Lytechinus pictus: one gene and its partner. The protein of the gene in region 2 purifies or fractionates together with the protein of the main gene of each other region. This does not show direct contact. Links are inferred from orthologs where the notes say so. Each region holds a gene or a part of one and is shown on either strand. Other genes may lie near its edges.

The links. The genes of interacting proteins can lie anywhere in the genome.
Region 1: the proteins of lupus La protein homolog (region 2) and RNA-binding protein RO60-like purify together in Homo sapiens (affinity purification with mass spectrometry; 3 studies listed by BioGRID and IntAct, with this or other methods). This does not show direct contact. The link is inferred for Lytechinus pictus from reciprocal best matches to the Homo sapiens genes SSB and RO60.

Annotation. Positions count from the first base shown.
Region 1 is NC_087259.1:23,601,524-23,605,281, forward strand, and holds the start of RNA-binding protein RO60-like, read right to left. Parts: upstream 2,677-3,758; 5' UTR 2,615-2,676; coding exon 2,083-2,614; intron 1-2,082. UniProt on the Homo sapiens protein: RNA-binding protein that binds to misfolded non-coding RNAs, pre-5S rRNA, and several small cytoplasmic RNA molecules known as Y RNAs.
Region 2 is NC_087245.1:18,646,130-18,649,887, reverse strand, and holds the start of lupus La protein homolog, read right to left. Parts: upstream 2,860-3,758; 5' UTR 2,807-2,859; coding exon 2,693-2,806; intron 2,441-2,692; coding exon 2,371-2,440; intron 1,805-2,370; coding exon 1,698-1,804; intron 534-1,697; coding exon 432-533; intron 1-431. UniProt on the Homo sapiens protein: Binds to the 3' poly(U) terminus of nascent RNA polymerase III transcripts, protecting them from exonuclease digestion and facilitating their folding and maturation.

The sequences.
Region 1 (3,758 bases), on a different chromosome or scaffold from region 2:
GTACTTTTTCCCCTTCCACTCACCCCATGACCCGTTCCCTCCCTCGGCTTTACTAGGCAGTCCAGCCACCCCCACCAGACAAAAAAGTCTGAGCAATTTTAAGAGATTATTGTATTTGTCATTTGGAAGAGAGTCTGAGTAAAAACGTAACACTCCACAGTCAGATTTAAGATTATCTGCCTTCATCACTTAAAAGGGTGCGTTCACATTATGCTTTATGTTTGCATCCCCCCCCCCCTCCCTGCGCCCCGGTCCATACACCCCTACCAGACAAATAAAAAAAAGTCCTGTCAATTAAAAAAATCATTGAACACATTTTAAGATTTGAAATAGCATCAGAGATGTAAGATTATCTGCCTTCATTATACTAAGGGTGCCTTCTTATCATGAATGCTTTATGTTTGCATCCTACATATCATCCCTCCGCCTCCCCTTTCATACACCTCTACTAGACAAATAAAAAAGTTCTGTCTAAAAAAAATCATTGCACACAGGAAAAATTTTGAAAGGAAGTCAAATTGAAAAAGTGACGCACCAGATTTAATATTTTATGCCTTCATCAGTAAGTGTGCATTCATAATTATCTTTGTATCCTATCACCCCCCCCCTAACCTTAGAAAAAAACATCTCACCTAAGAAATTATTTCACAGGTTATTTTCTATTTGAAGAGTCTGGGTGAAATAGTTACACTCCAAAAAGAAAATGCTCTGCCTTCATCACTGAGGGTGCATTCACAATGTATGCATAATTTTGCAGGCATAACAAGCATATGAATTCATATCAACCACCTTGGAAACATAATTTGAAAAGAAGTTCACATCATGACCCATGCCCATATTTTTGGGTAGAAAAGATCTTTTAGAACGAGGGCTTATTTCCCAACGCACAGTTTGAAAAGTTGATATCACAGTTACTTTTTCCATTATTGAAAAAAAAAAACACTTTTCCATCCTTGAGTACATGTACGGTAAAAAAAAACCCTGCAAAATCTAGGTTTCCATGTTAGTTACCAATTAGGCCTTATCATAAGTCTGAACAAATGGGCCTTTAGTTTATACATGAAACTTACAATGTTATAATATACTGTAAAGAAAATTAACATCAAACTTCATTATTGATGATGTTGCATACATATTTGACTAGGAAGTAAACAGGTTTCGAAATGCATTTTTGTATGAGAGTACTTCACATGCAAAGAGAGACTCCAACAAGACCTAGATATTTCGAGCCAAACCTTTTTAAAATGCCTATTCTAAGCCCTTAAATATGAGTCTAAACACACCCTACAGTAAGACATGCTGGTATGTGAGGCATGCTGAGTTGAGGGGAGAGGATAAAGGTGTGAGCAATGAGGAAATTACATTTCTGCCTGTCAATGTGTACAGGATCACATTCATCTCATTCAAGGAGATACACCTTTAAGACAATCAAATAAATTATTTTAAAAAATGAATTCTAATATAATGTAATAGGAAAATACAATATATGCAAATAATTAATAGTTTTGGAAACAGTACATGCAGTATTATTACATGTTTACAAGCGAAACAATGACAAAATTTCCTAAGCACTGCATAATACTAAAGCTTCTTTGAAATACTAATGATGTGCTCACCCATTGGGCACATGGACCCTAGTCCCTAGTCATTCAAACAAAGCTTATTGATTGATCATAGGACACATTTTTAAAATTGATTATTCACAATCAATCATAGCAATTAGCTCTAATATCAATCACTATTTAGCTTGTTACAGGGCCCCTAAATAAGGGCAAAGAGACTTTACGCTTGGAATCTGGCAGAGATTATTGACTGCTATGTGGCAAGTTCTGATTTTTGTATCTGGAATTTAAGTGTACATGTATCATGTAATACTATACACTGTAAATATACATGTACACATACATGTAATACAAATTGAAACTACATGTACTGGAGTATTCGATGACTCAAGATTTGTAAACATGTATAAAGTTGAACAAAGTAGTGATCAAAAGTAAGGATATTATGGGAGTCTTACAAAATTTTAAACAAGTGACCACTGACCATGTTGAAAAATAAATATAAATTGTATTTACTTACCTTCTGCTGGAGGTTTGACGTGAGCTAGTCGTATGAGATCCCGATGTGACCATCCACAACGCTGCTTGCACCCTGTAACCAGCCGCGCCAACTCCTGGCCATCTTTGCCACAATACCAATTACATATTGCCTTCCTCTGCATGCGTCCCCAGCCTGTGCCCTCACCACCCTTCTCCACCCCGTCAACAAAGCGAAAGAGTCCAGACGCAGTCGGGCAGAGCTGACCTAGTTCGTTATACAAGGCCTTCTTTGCCGTCGAGTCCTTGCTCCTTGCAATGCAAACCAATACTTTCATGTAGGAGTCCTCATGTACTACGTGTCCAGCCTTGGAAAACTTTAGAAGTTCTTTGACAATATCTCCTCCTCGACCTTCCTCTAGGATCTTCTGCGTGCACTCTGGAAGGGGATTTCCCTTAGGTTCTTTGTTTACAACGTAGTATGTTCCGTTTGTTTGTCCCATAGAGAGGTACCGTCTGAGGGTGACCAGGTCCGAGTTGACCCCTATGTTGTTCGTCTGATCTTCAGAAGCCATCTTTGGTTGAGTTCAAAGGTCAGGCAAACTCAAAGCAAACTGAGGAACGTTTATCCTTGTGGTCTGCGAATTAGGTAGGGAAAGACAGGGAGAAAACAGAGTTAAACTGCACTCTTTGCAGCAAACATGTTTCTTTCAGTTTGTTTAAATTTGGAAAATACAAAGGGAATTTATTCATCTTCAGATGGACTGGAAATATTATACTAATTTTATTCCTAAAAAAATGTTAATCACCAAAAAATGTTAATCACCAGACCAACCATGGGTGAAAAACTTTTTAACTATAACTTTTTTTTCACAGCCAGGTATATGACTATAATCAGTAATTCAGTATGTATGGAAAAATAACATAACCTGCTTAACATTATTTGATTTCAGTATGTATTTTCCATAGACCTTTAATAGCCCTGGTTACTACATGTACCTCTGACATAGGGCCCATAGGGTTAACTTAAGAAAGACTTACTTTGAAGGAACAATAAGATGTCATCAGCATATTACTGTGTGAATCATCACCTCTATTAATGCAACATCCTGTGCAAGCATCTCACAGTAATACCACACAAATCTTTTTTTGCACTTATTTGTATCACAAGTTCCAAACCTACATGTTGAAGTCAAAGTAGCTTCCATTCCTTTGATCTGCTCTACACAAACAAAGCCTGAAGTACAGGGGGCATTTCATGATAAAAATGGTCAAAAGCTACTGAAATCCTTGCATCTGATTGGCTGAAAGAATATTTCTTGCTTAAAAACACTGACTAATGAAATGCCCCCAGGTGTACATGTAGATCCAGGGGTGGTATTCTGGAACACTGTCATAACTTTTGTCATAAATCTTGTCATTTGTCTCCGAGATGTGACACCGCTATGATTGTCACAAATCGGTATTCTGAACATTGTATTTTCCATGTCATATCTCTCAAAGTTCACGCCCATCTTTTCGGAAGCAAACCAATCAAAATCAGTGTTAGTTCCCAGTGGGAGCCCTTCTAGCCAATAGGGAGGCCCCGTGACAGGTAGGGCGTATCCCCAATACAGTTGCTGGCATCGTGCAAATACGCGAATATTGATGCGCTTAATTACAAAGAGAGACAGGGAGCTGTGAAGGATTTTAGAGGAGAAGTAGAAAAAGAAGGAAAAC
Region 2 (3,758 bases):
GTTCGAGGTTCGAGCCCTGGTCACGTCTTTCGGATGGTGACGTTAAAGGTCGGTCCCAGACGTAAATAATCATATCTGATTGATACACGTCTGACAAAACTCAAATACACACATTTGTAATCCTATTTTCATGAAATTTTCAGCATATTGCTCTGTGAATTTTACTCTATTTATTTAAATATAAATATTTTCAGCCCAGACCATCCCTTTAATGAGATCATACAGGCATCTCATAATAATCTTAGGTAGAACTGAAGGAAGGATCACAAGGTTTAGATACAGGATTACTGCAGATATGGGAAAAGATGCTGAAGATTGTGTGTTAATAATATTTTTATAGCACTTCAATCATGAAAAGATCTGATATCCTTTGGAGAATATAAAATAGAATAACTACACTGATAATCTTGTTAGAATGTGAATTGACATACGCAATAGACACTCCTTGCTCTCATAGACTGCCAGTATGCAGCGGTTTCTTCAGGTAGTGGCTTGTTCACTGCTCTTCTGATCTTCAATTTGTCTTCACTTATCTATGTGAAAAAAAGTCAAGACAATTTCACAAACCAAAGCAAACTAAATTTGTTATTTATTTCACTGGTCACCAGTATGGACTCTCTTTCAATAAATCAATGAATCTGATAACAAGTTTGCTTTCAACAAATCATCTTTCACCATACTGGATGTAAAACTAATGTGGATTGCAATCTAAAGATATGATATGGCTTCGCACACAGGTTCAAATCATCTAATTTGAAAAAACAAGTGGAGGGCCTCTAGCAGTCACACCTGTATTATGCATTCAATATAGCAACAGTGCTGACTTTGAAAACTATTATAGAATAATTATTCACAAAAGACACCATTCATATAATGATATAATACTATGTTCATTGACCCTAAATGACATTTGACCTTGGTCATGTGACCTAAGACTTGCCAGTGAAACTTGATTACCCCTATGTCTGTACGGGATGTTCAGTGATACATGTCCAAGTTTAATGAACTAGATCCATAAACTTTCAGTTATGATGGCAAATCAACAAATACCCCCAACTTGGCCAAAGTTCATTAACCCTAAATGACCTTTGACCTTGGTCATGTGACCTGAAATTCAGTAATACTTTATTACCCTTGTGTCCCAAGTTTCATTCACTAGGTTCATATACTTTCTAAGTTATGAAGACATTACAAAACCTTAGACCTTAGGTTAAGATTTTGATGTTGATTCCCCCAACATAGTTTATTAAGTTAATTTACCCTAAATGACATTTGACATTGGTCATGTGACCTGAAACTCAGGTAGGATGTATAGTATTACTTGATTAACCTTATGTCCAAGTTTCATGTACTAGGTCTATATAATTTTTAAGTTATGTCATTTCACAAACTTAACCTTTGGTTAAAATTTCATGTGCCTCTGCCGCTGTTGTCGGAAAAGCGACAACAAAAATTGATATACAGACAGATTAATACTGAAGATTTAATTTTTTTGTTTTTAGCACATAATTTCATATATTTCCTACCAAATGAGAATATGTAACTGTACAAATAGGTGCATAATATGTAAGCATGCTTTTACTTGAATTTTCAACTATATAAAATGTAATTTTGGCACAATGATAACATTATTAGGTTCCTGGAAAACTGTTTTTTTTTAATCTATATTTTTGAGTAATTTAGAATGTTGCACTCACCTCCATTAGACCTGTTGGAGAGTTTTCAAGAGCTTGGACAATGACATCGAAGTCTGATGTCAAGATTTTCAGTCTGTTAAACTTGATCATGGTTTCAAGTGGGACCCCTTTAGTTTTTAAGTCAAGGATTATATGCGTATGTATATCATTAGTAAGAAGGACATAAAAATGCCCAAGTTAACAGATGATATCCTAATTGTTGTTATCATTATGTTATATCATATATGCCTCATCACCACCACAGACATCACAATCATCATCATCATCATCATCATCGTCGTCATCATCATCATCATCATCATCACAATCATCATCCTGATCATTTGAGATCAGGGGCAGTTCCAGGATATAAAGAGAGGTTCTGGATGTCATTTAAAGAATGTAATTGCCATCAAGAAAAAAACAAGAAGCCCCCACTACATACATTGTAACTCTAAAAGTTAATAATTGCACTTCAAATAGATTCACTCCCTCTTCCTCCTCCTTCTTCTTCTTTTTCTCCTCCTCCCTCCTTCTCTTCTTCTTTACCACAATAAGTCAACCTTCCAACACCAGCATATTTTTTTTTACAAACTACTATTTAGTCACTACACTCATCAAAACTTAAATTACAAAGTATTTTAATAAAGCACATATACATCATCAGTCAGTGTTTTTTTTTGTAAAAGGATACATCCATTGTCTTCTCTGATCTTTAGCTGCAGGAATGTATCTCTTTTTAGGTTGGAGTCTCCAAAGTAGTACTGTATAAATGACAATAACAATAATAAAACAAAAATAAAAAGGGTAAGTATGAAGTACATGAATGTGGTAAACAATTTTGATGATGCCTAAAATGGCCTTGATGCCATTTTTGTGCCCTTTTAATTTTGCCCATTTGTGTTATGATATTATATAGAAATGTGTCTTGGTCTTAGCCTAGAAATATTGAAATTTAAGGTCTGGCTTTTGATAAACAAATTTAGGGACATTTGTTAATAAATTTATTTTCCTACCTCAATTTGTCTTGCAATCTTTTTCTCCAATGCAGTGGGCTGTGCATCACCTTCAGTTTTGACTTCGGTTTTGACTTCCATTTCGACTTCAGTTTTGACTTCTGTTTCTGCCATTATGACAATAGGTGACTACCAGCAAACACAACAATGTGGTATTTCCTAATGTATAGAGGGGAACAAAATGAAAAGATTAATTTATTCTAGAGAGTTATATGACATTCACTAACAGAAAAGGCAGTCCAATCAAAATAAAAGATAACACCAGCAAATTGTCAAAGAGTGTTGGTATCATCGGTAAACTTATGTAATTTCATATAACATTTTATTGATATTTTACAATTACCATTTTGACTTACCAGTACTTGTAGAATTACCCATTGGTAATAGTTATGTATTACAATAACGATTTGGTATGTGGTAAATGTAGACAAAAATGACTTTGCAGTTAAAAAAAAAAATCTAAAGGGATTAAACAGACAAAAGAACTAACCAGCATTTAGTATGGTCTACATTTGTGCAAAAAGACAACATGGGTAAGTATACATGCTCTAATGTATATCATGATAGAGTATAATCCCTCACATAAATCATACACATCATGATTTTTTTATATTATAGTAGAGGTAGGATTTACAGGGGTTAAACAAGGTAAATGTTTCAAATTCCTTTGGGCATCCGGTTATTTGATGCAGTGTCATCTCCTATCAGAGCATTTTGATACCATTTTTATTGAAATCTGCCCGAAAAAGAGGTGCCGACCCCCCTAAAAAGGATCTAGCTGGATGTGACCCCTAAATGGGTCCCATGTAGGCTTGTATGCGTGCATTTAAAATGCAACTTACGTGTTCTGTATCCGTTTGTGCAGATTTTAAAGTTGAATTAGTTTGTTTTCCTAGATACAAGTAATTTAGTTGTAAATAATTACTATTGATATAATAGTAATTATTTACAACTAAAATATAGATTTCATTTTAATAATTATTACTTGTTGAATAATAATTTTTCTACAAAATGCGCTACAAAACGGTGCCTCATACCATACATGTAGCTCTTCTGCTGTAGCTAA